3 linked regions of the Arabidopsis thaliana genome follow. The protein of the gene in region 3 interacts with the protein of the main gene of each other region in a pairwise test. Each region holds a gene or a part of one and is shown on either strand. Other genes may lie near its edges.

What was found.
Region 1: the proteins of GR (region 3) and TOC64-V interact in a two-hybrid assay, tested with the Arabidopsis thaliana proteins (one study listed by BioGRID).
Region 2: the proteins of GR (region 3) and AT2G19080 interact in a two-hybrid assay, tested with the Arabidopsis thaliana proteins (one study listed by BioGRID).

The regions. Positions count from the first base shown.
Region 1 is NC_003076.8:2,926,161-2,932,625, reverse strand, and holds TOC64-V (translocon at the outer membrane of chloroplasts 64-V), read right to left. Parts: upstream 4,454-6,465; 5' UTR 4,311-4,453; coding exon 4,069-4,310; intron 3,865-4,068; coding exon 3,712-3,864; intron 3,623-3,711; coding exon 3,498-3,622; intron 3,408-3,497; coding exon 3,282-3,407; intron 3,174-3,281; coding exon 2,991-3,173; intron 2,908-2,990; coding exon 2,763-2,907; intron 2,580-2,762; coding exon 2,411-2,579; intron 2,240-2,410; coding exon 2,102-2,239; intron 1,994-2,101; coding exon 1,793-1,993; intron 1,683-1,792; coding exon 1,555-1,682; intron 1,476-1,554; coding exon 1,424-1,475; intron 1,170-1,423; coding exon 1,100-1,169; intron 956-1,099; coding exon 876-955; 3' UTR 605-875; downstream 1-604. Other genes in the region: AT5G09430 (alpha/beta-Hydrolases superfamily protein), read right to left, coding at 1-464; EICBP.B (ethylene induced calmodulin binding protein), read right to left, coding at 5,335-5,457, 5,530-5,874, 5,974-6,465. UniProt on the Arabidopsis thaliana protein: Chaperone receptor mediating Hsp90-dependent protein targeting to mitochondria.
Region 2 is NC_003071.7:8,261,068-8,265,767, reverse strand, and holds AT2G19080 (metaxin-like protein), read right to left. Parts: upstream 3,069-4,700; 5' UTR 2,951-3,068; coding exon 2,791-2,950; intron 2,237-2,790; coding exon 1,902-2,236; intron 1,800-1,901; coding exon 1,723-1,799; intron 1,635-1,722; coding exon 1,574-1,634; coding exon of another isoform or gene 1,496-1,573; exon of another isoform or gene 1,464-1,495; coding exon 1,319-1,463; intron 1,192-1,318; coding exon 1,022-1,191; 3' UTR 630-1,021; downstream 1-629. Other genes in the region: AT2G19090 (DUF630 family protein (DUF630 and DUF632)), read left to right, coding at 1-590; SHT (spermidine hydroxycinnamoyl transferase), read left to right, coding at 3,810-4,700. UniProt on the Arabidopsis thaliana protein: Involved in transport of proteins into the mitochondrion.
Region 3 is NC_003074.8:20,229,025-20,234,911, reverse strand, and holds GR (glutathione reductase), read left to right. Parts: upstream 1-1,700; 5' UTR 1,701-1,811; coding exon 1,812-2,212; intron 2,213-2,351; coding exon 2,352-2,577; intron 2,578-2,662; coding exon 2,663-2,941; intron 2,942-3,026; coding exon 3,027-3,203; intron 3,204-3,371; coding exon 3,372-3,425; intron 3,426-3,554; coding exon 3,555-3,703; intron 3,704-3,868; coding exon 3,869-3,932; intron 3,933-4,008; coding exon 4,009-4,179; intron 4,180-4,270; coding exon 4,271-4,405; intron 4,406-4,514; coding exon 4,515-4,556; 3' UTR 4,557-4,606; intron 4,607-4,802; 3' UTR 4,803-5,275; downstream 5,276-5,887.

The sequences.
Region 1 (6,465 bases), on a different chromosome or scaffold from region 3:
AGCTTCTCAACGTTCTCCGGAAACTGCGCCGCTAAACTATACCCAACGAATCCACCGTAACTAATCCCGACGATGTTCATCCTCTGGACTCCGTGCGCTTCCATTAACCTCATCAGACACCGAGCCTGGAAAGATTCGGTTCGGTTTGGTTCCGATGTGGATGATAACCCGAAGAAGAGGAGATCGGGAACGTAGACGTTGAATCGGCCGGTGAAAGCTCGGAGATGTTCTCCGTATTGCCACATTGCGTTGGCGCCGAATCCGTGGAGGAGGAGGAGATTAGGTTTAGATCGATTCGGGGATTTAGGAATCCAACAATGCATAGCTGTTGATGCGATTGAATTGCCGTGGGAGAGATCTGTCGTTACGGAACGTAGACCGGCGTTTGCGAATGATTGCCGGAATAACCAATCTCGCGACGCCGTGAAGCTGAAGCATCGCAGCAGTTTCATATGATCAAACATTTTTGATTCGAATAATTCAAAAATGAAACAGAGGAGAAGATACGGAGGCGTGACGATGACGAAGAGGAAAAAAACAAACAACGAATTCAGTTATTTGTCGAGAAATTGATTGTAAACGTGTCATTTATGGGTCCCTCCGTGTAATTTAAGGAATTACAGTATTGGACTTGGGGGAAATTGTAATTTACGTAAAAGACCGTTAAGAAAACAAAGAAGCTAAAAGGACCCCATAAAACTTTTCAGATCAAGTAATTAGAGGTAGAAGTTTTCATCCCAATCTGTACACATGTCACAAAACCACTAAATTATTAGTCTGTTGAAACCGGAGCAAAACCTTTCCTTTTTAGGGTTTTAGATAAGTGAAAAGATAGATTGGTGAACAAGAGAAATCGAGTAATAATCCTTTTTAACTCATATGTGTTTTCGGAGTCTCTTCTCAGCAACCTTTGCCGTCTTGTTCTGTGGTTCAAGGACCAATGCGTGCCTGAAATCTGCAGAGATGATCAACCATAATGTTACGCTCCAATACCCTACTAGAGAGAGTAACTCATCTGGATAGCTAGATGAATTTTATCTTTTAACAAGTTTCTCCAATGTGATAAAATTACAATCTCAGAGTAGTTTAATCATCATACCTGCAGCAGCTTCCTTGTACCGTACAAGTGATTCTCTAGCAGTCCCTCGTCTCAAATATGCCTTCACATTCTGTAGAAACAAATAACTATTATAAGAATCAAAGCTTCCAAATAATGCGTCATTGTGTCTATAGTGAGTGATCTGAGTGATAATGAAACTAGATAGTCATAGTACAAAGGTATTACGCCGCAAATCAAATAAATAAAAAGTGAATAGTTTTGTTCCAGCTCAAGTGTACTTAAACACAAAACCATGTTAAAAACACAATGTAACAAAACAAACTACGAGGGATGGAGAAATAAGGCAGCTAATCAAGTTTTCACCTTCTTATCGATCAACATGGCCTTGGTACAATCTTGTTCGGCTTGTTGGAAGCTATAAACAAACTCTCAGATCAGAAAATCATAATAAATTATATTCAGATCAGAATGAAAGATATGAAGAGAACAATTACCAGCAAAGTTCCAAGAAAGCTGCAGCTCTATTGCAATAATAAGTAGCATTTGCTCCATTCAATTTTATAGCTTCTGTATAAAAGTTTACCGCCTTATTCCATTGTTTCCCCTTGTATGCAGCATTGCCCTGGAATTACATTTTATCCACTGTTAACTTTGAGAACATTCCAACTCCAGTAGCATATCATGGATCAGAACCAAATATACTATTTGTCAAACTCAAAGAGATAGTTTTACCTTTTCTTTCATAACTTCAGAAGCCTCCATGTTACCATTGGTGTCAGACACTGGAGCTAAGTTGGATGCAAGTTTGGCTTGGTCTTGAAGGGATGCATATACATCGAGAGTTGTATCGAGAAGGAACTTATCACCTCCATAGTAAGTAAGAAGCGACACGGATATTGGACGATCACCATGTTCCCCTAAAGGAATTGTAACCTGAAGAATATGTATATATTTGTGTCATGACTAAAGACTGAAGAGTAAGGAAAAGGCAACAAGAATGTTCCCCAACCATTGAATGAGAAAGAGGAGATGGAAATATACCTGACAACATCCAGACATGCTTGCAATGCAGGAGAGTGCATAAGTACGATCAAGAAACTCATTCAAAGATTTATTTCTCTTTGTGTTAAGCCTTGGAGGGGGATCAGCAACTGTGGGGATTACCAGAATTCCATCTTCCTAGTAATAAGATACCGATCTATGGTTAATCATAATACCATAGAACTAAAAAGAAGCCGCAAAAATGAAAGTTAATAATTCAATCTCTTCAGACTTCAGTGTTTTGGTGGCAAAATGTCCTCAAGACACTAATGGCTGTGAAAATTTTAAATTTCCAAAAATCGAGTTTACCTTTAAAAGGCTTTGAATGGTGGCCCGCATCTCATTTTTCACTCTGTAGAGGGATTTAATGCTCTCGTTTTTGCTCTTCAGAGCTGTAACAACATCATTGGAAAATCTTGGCCCTAGAAACGATTTGCATGTTTGCCACCATTCTTCATGATTTGTTTTGAACTCATGCCTGGTAAAAAGAAAATCCTTTCTTCTTCGATATTTGCATATAATACAACTTAAGAAGAAAATAGTAACCTCCAGCAAAGAGGGAATAACAACAATCTTTTATTGCACCCGTTTAAAAGGAACGAGAGAGAGAAAAAAGTATTGATGCAGTGAAAATTTCAAGAAGTGTGAGCTTCTTAAATACCTTTGTATAGCCAACATCACAGATGAAAGAGCCCTTAAAGTTGATGCTGAATTTTGGGATTTCCCAGATTGCTCACAGAATTCCGCAAGACTTGGTACATTTGAAGCGACATATTGGCCAACGTTAACATGTTTTGGAGTCTTGTCTGCATGAGCCAGTGGTCAAGAGACATAAGATATGAATCTGGAGAAGGGCAAAGAGAAGGAAACAATACAGCTGCAAACTTACAGCCAGATAGATTCTCGATTGCCTTTCTGACAACTTGCACCGACTTTTGCTTAGGAATGTCAGAGAGCTCGAATAAATCATCAGCAAAGATTAAAGATCTTTGCCTTCTATGTGTTACTGCACTCAGATTTAGTAAGGCATGTCCAACTTGACACAAAACGGATGGATCAGAGGCAAACCATCCTACAGAACGAATCAATGAGTTCAATAATCAGGAAGGCAAACACCTAGAGTAGCATGTACCATTGAAACTACACTAAAAACACTAAAAGGGAGGGGAATGTAACGTACCAACAGTCTCTAGGCTCTGAGAATTGGGCAAAACTCCAACTGAAGAAACAGTCCCCTGAGATGGTCGAAAACCAAGAATACCACAAAAGGCTGCTGGGACTCTAACACCACCAGTGGTATCAATCCCTGCAAATCAAGCATCTTTTGATTAGCATAAAGAACCAAACGTAATCCAAGAAACACATTACCAAGAGAAAACGAAGAGATTAACAATACCAAGTGAAAAGTCAACGAGTTCAGCCCCAACAGAAACTGCTGAGCCACTGGAACATCCTCCAGGAACATTATCTGGCATCAATGGATTAATAGGAGTTCCATAGTGCTTGTTTTCTCCAATAATCCTGTAAAATCACATTCAAAACACAAACTTTCTTCAAACCAACTACCGAAAGGTCATTTCATATGCAGAATGGTAGGAGTGGAGAGATACCCAAAACCCAGCTCATCCATTATAGTCTTGCCAACACAAGTAGCTCCATTTTTCAAGAGCGTCGTGACAACCACAGCAGTTTTCTCAGCAGCCTCATGAGTCTTCTTCCATTGTGGACAACCAAATCCTGTGATATAATCCTTAACATCGAACCTGTCAAACCATTAACCCCGATATAACTTTATTCATTTCATTGCAACATGACTTCGTCTAAGCAAGTCAAAATCTCAATTAAACCAAACAAAAGTTTTGAACTTTATAAGCGAGATCATTATATAAAGCAGGAAAAAACAAATTTGAAAATAGGTTATGATTTTTAAGAGAGAGAGAGAGAGAGAGAGAGAGAGAGATACATACGCGTCGGAGATGGAGAAGGTAAGACCAGAGAGAGATTGTTTAGCAGCAGGAGGAGGAGGCGGAGGGAAAGGAAGAAGCTCGAAACGATCTAAGAAAGCACCAAAGTCTTCTTCTCTAAGGGCTCTAATCCGCCGCTTCCGGGTCTCCGCCAGAATCACGATCCCGGCCACCGTCACGCCGATCACTACCCAAACTTTGGGATTCGAGGCATTGCTTTGAATCAAAGAAAGCGTATTCGACATAACGCGATCTCACGAGAAAGAGAGAGAGAGAGAGAGAGAGACAAGGGTTTTAGGAGGGTTTAAGAGAGAAAAGGGGAAAGAAAAATAGGAGAGAGATTTGGAAGAAGCAAACACAGATGCTATCGTGCGCACTGTGTCTAAACCCTTTTAATTACGAGTGATGACTTGGCCAGCCGTGAACTCAAGTCCGTCTGCCCAAGGCGAATCTTCTCTTTTTGATTGATTAATAATTGTCTTTACGAAATCGATAAAGAAATTAAAAAAAAAAATTAAATTAAGAAAAATGGAAATTTTAATTTTAATTCCTTTATTTATTAGAATTACTCGTTTCAATTTTTTTTAATAAGCTTGTACAAATTGATTTAGGTTTATAATTTCTTTTGTTGGCCATTTCTTCTCTTAATGAACTTTTCCACTCGTGGAAAAATAGATTTTAAGCTAGTCAAGCCACTAAAAACCTCAATATAATAATGAAAAAATTAAAATATATACTGCTATAATTTATTGTTAAGTTTCCATTTTCTGTAGCCTTGCCCGTCAATCCAATTTTATCTTCAGATTATAGGAAAATCCAAGTTAAGTTTTTTTTATAGCTTTAATGGTTTACCAATCCAAATTTGGTAGATAAAATGGCATGTCGACCCGGATTTATAACCTTTAAAAGTTAGCTCAATATCATACTACCATTCAAATTTAAACTATAACAATATGACTGATGTATGAGTTTGACCAAAACAAATATGATGTATAAATTGCAGAAAACAGCTAATAAAGAGAAGAATATTCAATACGGATACAAATATGAATCAGAGTAATCCAACACTTGGCTATATAATATTAGCAGAGAAAAGCCAAATGAACAAATAAAAAAGTTATATATTGTTAAGACGAAAGAAAATAGTGAATAATTCTATTTCAATCCAAGTAATAAATTAAGCGGTAAATATCAACTATGGTATTTACAGAGAAGAAATAAAGTTAGAAAGTAAAAGAAGGAAAAATGAATACGAGTCAGAAAGTAAAATCAAGGAGAAATAGACATCATCAATGTGTCATCGTTCAAAAGAGACTCAATGTCAATAAAATCGTCTTCTTCACAGTTGACTGCTTCTTCTTCTTTATTGTTTATAGATGCACTTGATGAAGCCTGCAACAACAATTTATCACAAGAATGCTCAACAAAATATGATTAACTGATTATGTTATGGGTCTTGGGTACCTCATTTTCACGGAAGCCCTCAACAACCGTTAGGAGTCTACGGTATTGATCCCGTGCTTCTGGGTATTGAACCATCGACTTAACACGAGTCAGAGCCTTCTGTAGCCTTTCCTCTGTTTGTTTTCTTCCCTCTTTAAGATAATCATACTCATCTTCCTGTGGGATCCTAGGACATATAGCTGATACAGGCGGTTCCGGTTCCACGGTTTTGGCGACTGCATTGCGTTTAAACCCTCTCAAACCATTACCTTTGCGTCTCCAACGCAAAATGATTTTCTCGAGTAATCCCACAGACCAGATGACTGTTCGGTATTGTTTCCGGACCTGATGTCCTCTCACATGAGCCTAAAGGTAAATGTAATATGATTCCAGCAATGAGAAACCAGACAAAAGACTTATGCAAAGAAATAAGGGGGAGAAAAAAAAACTCAATGAAAGGCAAACCTGAATTTTAACGATTCTTTGTCGGATTAAAAGAAACTCTTTTCTCTTCTTCCAACCACGATATTTCTTCTGGATATGGGTAGCAGCACAACTAAGAGAGACATCACCCTGTCCTGGATTCTTAGTTTTAGAAGCTGCAAAAGAAACAGCTAACTGGTCGGAGATATCAATCTTTTCATCATCGCCAATATCACACAGCTGTTTCCGTTGGAATGATTGCATCCTGAATACTTGATGGAGACGATCAGCCGCTTGCGTAGCATTACGGACAGCAGTAAGTGAATCCTTCAAGGAAAGTTTCTCTGGTACATCGCCATAGGTCATAGGAGCAGCGGTTCGCTCAGAGACTGTTTGAACAGCTTTTTCTCCACAAGAGTTGGCAGGGCTATTTTCCTTTGAGTCCACTGTTAGCTTTTCAAGATAACTAGTTAAGGAAGACTCTGCAAGAAATCCCGAAATTCCCCTGTGTCCATTTGCGTAAGCCAAATCAGC
Region 2 (4,700 bases), on a different chromosome or scaffold from region 3:
AGGCTATTAACTCTCAAAGATTAGCTCAATCTGCTTTGAATCTTGAAGCTCAGCTTCGAAACTGGAGAACCTGTTTTGAATTCTGGATCACCTCTCAGAGATCCTACATGAAAGCATTATCTGGTTGGCTTCTAAGATGTTTCAGATGTGATCCTGACCCCGAAAAAGTTAGATTATCCTCATGTCTTCACCCGATATACCGAGTCTGCATTCAATGGTCAAGGTTGCTTAACAGCTTGAATGAAAAACCAGTTTTGGACAAACTTGAGTTCTTTGCCTCAGGGATGGGTTCAATATATGCAAGGCAAGTTAGGGAAGATCCAAACTGGAGTGGAAGCGGGTCAAGGAGATACTCCGGGTCAGAAAGCATGGAGCTTGTAGTGGCTGATAAGGGAGAAGAAGATGTTGTGATGACTGCTGAGAAACTTGCAGAGGTTGCTGTGAAGGTTCTCTGCCATGGAATGTCTGTTGCAGTTAGTTCACTAGCTGAGTTTTCCATCAACTCGGCCGATGAACACTCGAAGCTTGTTAGCCAACCAGCAGACGATGCGTCGGAGCAGCAGCCCCCGGATGTAAATTTCAATTCCTAGTACTTGTTATTAATTTTGTTTGGTTTTAGAGAGTTTAGAATTAGGTAGGTTTTTGGCATCATCTTTTGCTATCAGAAGATAGTTTCTTAGATGGATGAGATTTGTATTATTTAGTAAGACAAATAGAGTTAGTTCAGTTGATTCTGAGGATGTGTACCAAGAGTCTTCTAATGTTCCTCGGTATTTTATCCGGTGAATCGGTTCCCATGATGTGCCTTAAAAACCAATGAAATTTATATAAAAGCCAAAAGCTCTCCTTCAGAACGAAAAGTCGAAAACCATTATAATGTGACTAAATCTCACATCTGTATCCTCTCCATAACTAAGAGTTCAAGAAGAAAAAAGCGTAGAGATTACTGGTTATGTTTTTATCTTAGTCTCAGAGAGTTCGCCTGAGAGTTACCGGTCCATTTAATAAGAAAAGCTTTAGTTTAGTCATCTTCATCTTCATACTCCAGTTCATCAGAACTACCTCCTCCCATCACTGATACGTAAATGACGACAGCTAGAAACTGAGCAGCTAGAAAGAACCTTGCTCTTTTCTTAAATTTTTTCTCCTCTTCGGTCTTTTCTACCTTTGGTTTGCTCTTTGGCTTCGAACCTGAACAAAAGATGAAATTCACTTCCTTCACAGGCTTAAACATATCCAATGAATGTTGCATATATGACAGATATATAATATGATGAAATATATATGATATGGACGTTGAAGGTTAGATGTGTCTTACTCTTTCTTGGAAATGAGGAAGGGAATGAGTGAAGTGGAGGTGAAGGAGATGAAGAAGAGGCTTCAAGGAACTCTGACTTAAGTTTCTCAGCATATCGCACAAGATTACTATGTTCCAGAAGTTTGCACCGAAGCACTGATGTAACCTGATCATGCACCATTAAGAAAACTACTTCATCTAAATAGTTCTAAGGCTAAATTCAACCTGATAAACCCATAACTGAGAAATATATTGGTGAAATTTAAAGCTGCTCACTGGTAACGCTTGGATTATAAAAAGTATGTGCGAGAGTAAGAAAGCATCCAAACTCGATGGCCTGTGGGAAGAGAATAATATAAACATTGTCAATCTTTTACAAAAAGGCTTAAGGGAAAGAATCCAGTTCCGGAATGTGATTGCAATACCTGTCTTCAAAGAGAAACTTCTGCTCACCTAACCTAGTCGACAAAGCTTCATATGCCTCACTTGCTCTCTTGTATATCTGTTCACATTTAAGACTATGAACTTTAATAACTAGTTCAAATGCTCACAAATATAAACCACAGGTCTTCTAAAGTAACAACAAAACTTAAACAAACCCGACCTGTTTTTCTCTTTGCTCTGCGTTCTCTTTGGTGATTCCTAAACGGTTCTTTGCCAAGTATGTCTGCTTATAAAACAGGACCTTGCTGATCACCCAAGGAAGATCTGAATAGTAGATTTTCGATGTAGATATCCCCTCGGTACCAACCCATATCTCATAGGTAAGCGCTTCTTCTAGCCAAGACACAATAAGAGCCTTCAAAGATAAATAATCCGAAAGAGACTGTAGCTGAGAGTCCAGATTAACAATCCCATCTTTCTTCAGTTTTTCAATTACTCCTCCATCTTCATTGTTATATGCAACATATGTATCACTTTCAAAGTACGGCAGTTCATCTATATTAAAAACAAATGATTAACATTGTCAATACACAAGCTTATAAATATTGAATGCACAAATTTGTAAATCCGTGAACAAAGGATTACGAAGTGTCTAGAGATATTATCAAACATAACATAGAAATTCTGAAGATATTGTTAATATACAAACTCAATAGCTAAATCAAACAACTAATTTCTTCTGAACAAGTATGAAACATCATCATTCTCTTCGAATTAACAATTACGATAACGAGGAATTCAACCAAAGCTATAACAAGAAATTATGATGAACACTTCCTATCCAGAAAAATTCACCAATGCATATATACACCTCAAAATTGAATTACTATTGCCTAAAAACCCTATCTAAACTCTGATTAACCTAAGAGCAGGATCTTAATAGTACGAATTCGAATCCAGAACTCAAAATTATCTTGTCTAGGATTCGAATCTCAATTCAAGCTAATAGAATTAACAATGTTCACTTCCAACAGATACACATCACGCAACCAAAACCTTAATCTAACAACAACCAAAATACGAAGCGAGGAATCAAAACAGAAGCAAACCTGAATCAGGGAAGGTTGAATTGAACGCAAGTTCAAAAGGTAGCTGGGCTAATTTCAGGTATATATAAGCAGGAAGACAATTAGGGCAAGCTGTTGGGAGATCGAAGGAAGGCTTCCTTGCCACCAAAGTATAAACATTCGTCTCTTGATCGCCTTCCATTATAGTGACTCGTATGTGTGAGAGCTCTGGTCAAAAGAAGAAGAAGTACTCAAGTAAGTTCGATCGTCGATAGAGAGAGATGGGGCGAGAAGAGAAGATCCAGTCGAGTCCGGGTCTGGGTTAAGGTTTAGTCGGTCGGGTTTAAAACTAGGGTTTATTAATACGATAACTCATTTTGGGCTTTAAAAGGCCCACAAATTACCCATTAAGACAAAACTACTGGAGGAGGAGACTCGGAGAAAGTGGAATTGTTTTCTCCTTTTTGTTAGTTTGTAAAAACTAAAATTACTGTGTAACAGTGTAAAATACATCATCCACATTTTTTTTCTTCAAGATGACTTTATAAAAATAAACTCAACTTAAATTCAGAAGATATAATCAAAACTGGCGATGTGGGCTTTTGAATTTAATGCTATGAAGTTAGTATTTTGGATTTACCATTTCTTTTTAGAGTTTATGATATATACTTAAGGATTTAGTTTAGAATTTATACTTTGGAATATACTTGCATAAAAAAGTATAACACATTCCCTAATAGTGATATGAATTTTATGTTATATGTTCTTACCTCGTTTTTTTTCATTTTTTCGTGGAAATATATATTCATCCACAATGTGAACAAAATAGAGAAGAAGGGTAATACGCGTGATCATATACAACCAACAAAACTAAACCTTATTCTCACTTCCACTAATTAAGCTGCTTCGAAGGAAACAAACTAAACCACGAGAAAAACATTTTTGAATTTTGACTAACAGCAAGAAAAATTCGTTGAATCCATATGATTCTGTGTACTATATAAACATTACTTTAGCACGAACTTCAAAAAGAGAAGAGAAAAAGAAAGGGGGTTTGTGTTATGGCTCCCATAACTTTTAGAAAATCTTACACTATAGTACCGGCCGAACCAACGTGGAGCGGTAGGTTTCCCTTAGCCGAGTGGGATCAAGTTGGTACAATTACTCACATTCCCACCCTTTACTTTTACGACAAGCCATCTGAATCTTTCCAAGGCAATGTAGTCGAAATCCTAAAAACCTCGTTGAGCCGTGTGCTAGTCCATTTTTACCCTATGGCTGGCCGTCTCAGATGGCTCCCTCGGGGACGGTTCGAGCTCAATTGTAACGCCGAGGGAGTGGAATTCATTGAAGCGGAATCTGAGGGGAAGCTTTCGGATTTCAAAGACTTCTCTCCTACGCCGGAATTCGAGAATCTTATGCCGCAAGTAAACTATAAAAACCCTATCGAAACGATTCCTCTATTTTTAGCTCAGGTAACCAAATTCAAATGCGGTGGAATAAGCCTTAGCGTCAACGTTTCCCACGCGATCGTAGATGGCCAAAGCGCGCTTCACTTAATATCGGAATGGGGAAGACTCGCGCGCGGTGAACCGTTAGAAACCGTTCCATTTCTAGACCGGAAAATCCTCTGGGCTGGTGAACCGCTCCCACCGTTTGTGTCGCCCCCAAAGTTCGACCACAAAGAGTTTGATCAGCCACCGTTTTTGATCGGAGAAACGGACAATGTAGAAGAGAGAAAGAAGAAAACGATTGTGGTGATGCTACCACTGAGCACATCTCAGCTGCAGAAGCTACGAAGTAAAGCCAACGGAAGCAAACACTCTGACCCGGCGAAAGGGTTTACAAGGTACGAGACCGTCACCGGACACGTGTGGAGGTGCGCGTGTAAAGCACGTGGCCACTCTCCGGAGCAACCAACGGCTCTAGGAATCTGTATAGATACTCGTAGT
Region 3 (5,887 bases):
TCGTCCATGCACGGATCAAACTATAAACTTGCAAGTTTTTTTTTAATAGTGTGAAAAAAACTATTATGCAGCCAATTACATTATTTTCACGATTTTCTAGTTTAATCACTCAAGTCGGTATCCCATGAGTTATAGGAATCAAGGGAAGTTGAGCTAGTTATTTCTGGTTCTTCCATGAAGATTCTCCATAGCCAAATGGTCTTTGTACAACGATTCATGGAGTTTAAAAGTCGTGGTGGATGCTCCACAAAAGTGTGGTTAAAAAGTCTTGCTAATTTATAGTTTGGGAAAAATGTCATTTAATCCTCCAACTTTTAAAAAATAGCCATTTTATACATCAACTTCGTATATGGCCGTTTAAAACATGAACTAAACGTTGATTAAATTTTAAAACATGATCTTTCGTTGACCAGGCCAAAATAGACATGCCGTTATCAGTCATTAACGGAATTTCTAACGTCCGTTATCATCCGTTAACTTTATTAGTCAAGTTTTAAATTGTGGCCATTTTAAACATCAACTTTTTATGTGGCCATTTAAAACATGAACTAAACGTTGACTACCATTTAAGACATAAAAATATCGTTGACCAGACCAAAATAGACATGTCTTTATCAGTAGAACCTAGAAACCCGTTAATAACTGTTAATCTGTCCAAAACAACGTCGTTTGAGAATAATCGAAAGAACATAAAGATTTTTCCCATATGAAATCTCCATATCAAAAAGTTTTAAGTAGAACCCAAGAACATAGTTTGATAAAGAGATAATCGCAGTGTCAGTAATTGGAAGCAAATAAAGGTATTTTCGTTTATATATTTGTTTTAAATTTGAAATTGAATCATGGAAGCAAATTGAAGACTCATTATAAGATTGTTCGTCTTGTTTGAGCGGTTGTAGAAATAGATTTGGGGAACTGGGGTTTCATTTAGAAAACAATCCTGATTTTCTTTTGATTATTCTCAAAACAAAGTCGTTTTAGGGATACTAATAGAGTCGTTAACAAGTGATAATGAATGTTATAAGTTCTTTTAATGAATGATGACAACATGTTTATTTTGGCTTGGTCAACGAATTTCTCATGTTTTAAATGGTAGTCAACGCTTAGTTCATGTTTAAAATTGCCACATATAAAGTCGATGTTTAAATTGACCACAATTTAAAACTTGACTAATAAAGTCGTTAACGGATGATAACGGACGTTAGAAGTTCCGTTAATGACTGATAACGACATGTCTATTTTGGCATGATCAACGAATAATCATGTTTTAAAAGTTAGTCAACATTTAATTCATGTTTTAAACAGCCGCATACGAAATTGATGTATAAAATGACCATTTTTTGAAAGTTAGGAGATTAATTGATATTTTTCCCTTTATAGTTTACAGGTACATACGTTGATAACACAAATCGTATAACTTTCTAACGGTACAGAAAATAGTAAACCGTACAAAAATAATAAAAAAGGGTAAGATGTAGAAGTATAAAACTAATAGTACAAATTAAAAGATTTTGGTTCCACTTGTATGTATAAGTGATTACATCAAAATGGTATTACTAAGTCATCATTTAGATTTGATGAAGTTTGTATTCGTGTCATAAACCGGGCGTAGGTGGAGTTATTGTCAGTTTGGTAGCGTTTTACGACCACACATAAAAACATGTTTATAAATTGTTAAAAAACAATAAGACATGTCATAAATCTAAATGCCACAAGTAGAATTATCGAAATAAAGCTTTTACATAAATACACACACCCAAACTAAAAAAGAAAAAAAAAAGAAAGAGAGAGAGAGAAGAAGAATCGTGGAGATGGCTTCGACCCCGAAGCTTACCAGTACAATTTCATCATCTTCTCCATCTCTTCAATTCCTCTGCAAAAAACTCCCAATCGCAATTCATCTACCATCATCTTCTTCCTCTAGCTTTCTCTCGCTTCCTAAAACCCTAACCTCTCTCTATTCTCTCCGTCCCCGTATCGCCCTACTCTCAAACCACCGCTATTACCACTCTCGCCGGTTTTCTGTTTGTGCCAGTACCGATAATGGAGCTGAATCAGACCGCCACTACGATTTTGATCTCTTCACTATCGGTGCCGGAAGCGGCGGCGTCCGCGCCTCTCGCTTCGCCACTAGCTTCGGTGCATCCGCCGCCGTTTGCGAGCTTCCTTTTTCCACTATCTCTTCCGATACTGCTGGAGGCGTTGGAGGAACGTAAGATTTCTTCCTTCTTGTGGCTTATATCGATAGCTAGTGAATTTGACTTTAGTAGTAGCTATACCAGAATTTGAAGCATTTGCTTGATGATTTATGGTTTGATTGTGTTGTCTACTCATTTTTGGTTATTTTGCAGGTGTGTATTGAGAGGATGTGTACCAAAGAAGTTACTTGTGTATGCATCCAAATACAGTCATGAGTTTGAAGACAGTCATGGATTTGGTTGGAAGTATGAGACTGAGCCTTCTCATGATTGGACTACTTTGATTGCTAACAAGAATGCTGAGTTACAGCGGTTGACTGGTATTTATAAGAATATACTGAGCAAAGCTAATGTCAAGTTGATTGAAGGTCGTGGAAAGGTATGCCGAGGCTCGGTGTTTATATAGTTCATGAGTTAACCTCTATGTATTGATTTGAGCTTGAGTATGTATTTTATATGTGTAGGTTATAGACCCACACACTGTTGATGTAGATGGGAAAATCTATACTACGAGGAATATTCTGATTGCAGTTGGTGGACGTCCTTTCATTCCTGACATTCCAGGAAAAGAGTTTGCTATTGATTCTGATGCCGCGCTTGATTTGCCTTCCAAGCCTAAGAAAATTGCAATAGTTGGTGGTGGCTACATAGCCCTGGAGTTTGCGGGGATCTTCAATGGTCTTAACTGTGAAGTTCATGTATTTATAAGGCAAAAGAAGGTGCTGAGGGGATTTGATGAAGATGTAAGTAAAAAATTGAGAATGACTTTTGCTGCTTTCATTTATCCGTCTGGATATTTTCTAATTGTAATTGTTATTCTTGTTTCAGGTCAGGGATTTCGTTGGAGAGCAGATGTCTTTAAGAGGTATTGAGTTTCACACTGAAGAATCCCCTGAAGCCATCATCAAAGCTGGAGATGGCTCGTTCTCTCTGAAGACCAGCAAGGGAACTGTTGAGGGATTTTCGCATGTTATGTTTGCAACTGGTCGCAAGCCCAACACAAAGGTATAGTGTGATTTTTATTATTTTCCAAAGGATGTTTATAAAATGAAAACTGGTAGCAAAGTTCATCCTTTAATAATTTGTCTAAGATAAACTGACCACTGCTGCCCCTTGTTTATGACTTTAATGGAATATGATTGTTCATTGATGTAATGTTGGCTGTTATAACAGAACTTAGGGTTGGAGAATGTTGGCGTTAAAATGGCGAAAAATGGAGCAATAGAGGTATGATCCAGTGTTTTACCTAGTTTTTTTGTCACTTAGGATTTCTATTATTGCATTGTGCACAGTTCTCTTGTTATACCTGGTTACTTCTTGTGATTGTGCTCCATGTTTCCACTTTTTTTTTGTAAGGTTGACGAATATTCACAGACATCTGTTCCATCCATCTGGGCTGTTGGGGATGTTACTGACCGAATCAATTTGACTCCAGTTGCTTTGATGGAGGGAGGTGCATTGGCTAAAACTTTGTTTCAAAATGAGCCAACAAAGCCTGATTATAGGTAACATAACAATCTTAACTTTTGATGTTTAAACCTTTGGGATTTTTTGGTGATTGATGAGAGTTTTTCTCTGTTTAGTCTTACATGCTGCATCAGTGATCTATAACATTTTATAACTGTTGTCTCTGATGGCTTTTATCCTTTCTGTGTTCTATAATCAACTAGAGCTGTTCCCTGCGCCGTTTTCTCCCAGCCACCTATTGGAACAGTTGGTCTAACTGAAGAGCAGGTAAGTAGGATGATTTGTCAAAAATATGGTTTATCATGCATGCCACTACATAGAAATATTAACTACGTGTTTGCAGGCCATAGAACAATATGGTGATGTGGATGTTTACACATCGAACTTTAGGCCATTAAAGGCTACCCTTTCAGGACTTCCAGACCGAGTATTTATGAAACTCATTGTCTGTGCAAACACCAATAAAGTTCTCGGTGTTCACATGTGTGGAGAAGATTCACCAGAAATCATCCAGGTTTCATTTTTTAACATGATTGGTATTCTCTGAAAAGTAATCACGGAAAACATATATGATTGAATATGAATTTTATTTTACAATTTTTCAGGGATTTGGGGTTGCAGTTAAAGCTGGTTTAACTAAGGCCGACTTTGATGCTACAGTGGGTGTTCACCCCACAGCAGCTGAGGAGTTTGTCACTATGAGGGCTCCAACCAGGAAATTCCGCAAAGACTCCTCTGAGGTTTGTTTGTGAACAGTCAAAACTTATCCATCTAGTTATTTCTCGTGGTTTTGCAACATGGGAAAATGATTGGAACTGAGTGAGATGTGTATGTCCAATTTCATTTCAGGGAAAGGCAAGTCCTGAAGCTAAAACAGCTGCTGGGGTGTAGAGAAGGTTGCAAAAAAGATTGTATTTACGGCATTGGAGCCCCCTGATAAGGTATTCATTCACCAGTTTCCGAAGTATTGGTCCTAATTCCTAAAATTAGAAAAGACATGCAATGCATTAGCTCATACCATGCTTAAGTAAGATGTCAATTAGGGCCAAAGCTTTGTTTCTGCCCACCCCGGAAAAATAGGGTAGACTAGAATTCTCCTCCATAACGGTGTTTGATATTTGACTTGCATGTTTGCAGGAGAACATTGTGTCTGTGAAGAAGAAGCTTTTCTTTTGGCAGAGAATATTTTTTCATAATGTCGTGTGAAGATATGATCGCTGTCCTGCAATACTTTTGATCGTTTGACACACGACCAAATTCCTCGAGAGAGAGAGGTTGTAACTATTCCGAAAGAGCTCTAAAACTGAAGCTTTCAGTTCTTGTGACATCATAATGAAGGCTGTATAGATATAACAGTTTCGAGTTTTATTTGGATTTGTAGTATTTTTGTTTTCTATTGTGTTGAACTTGTCTCTTTGAAGTCACCACGGGAGACCTCATATCAGCATCGTTGCGAATCAAATGAGGTTTTGAGTTTTGACAAGAAATTCAACACGATCACCAAATCCTTGAGTCATTATCATATTCAGATTTCAGAGTCTCCTACCATAATCATATTTATGGTTCGACTGTACATTATTACTGTTTAAAATTGATTTGATTTTTGAAAAGTTAAAAACTAATAGTTGACTAAAAAATTCATAAACAAATATATACTTTTTAAAGAGATACGTTTTGATTAATAACAAAAAGGAAATATATACATTAAGTATTATAATTAATATACTTATATAACTAAAAATCACTATTATAAGTAACAATATCTCTAAAACTTTGAATGGCCATTAAATTTTTCAAAAATAGATAGAAGAAAGAATTTTTTTAAAAAAGATATATCCAAGAGATTTCCAACTATGATAAAGCAAATATGTCATAATTATATTTATTGGCTTATCGCGACACGATTTCCAGATTCTTATTATTATTTTGTAGTGTAATTTGCTTTAATAACTCTTTAACTAGTAACTAATTTACTACTAATTGTTTTTAGGAAGAATCTTTTCCTTACAAAATAGTACTAATATTAGTCAACTATTTTCAGCACAGGTTAAGTACAGTGGATCCCAACGTCTACAAAAAAAAGACCACGTGACGTGATCTATTCCAAAACCAAGGACAAAACTGTCATTCACCAAGCTAGACCTCACGCTCTTTCAATTAGCTGAGCGGCTACAATTTTCATTTTTAACATTTTAGCTTCGGTGTCTTTCGAAATCAATCGC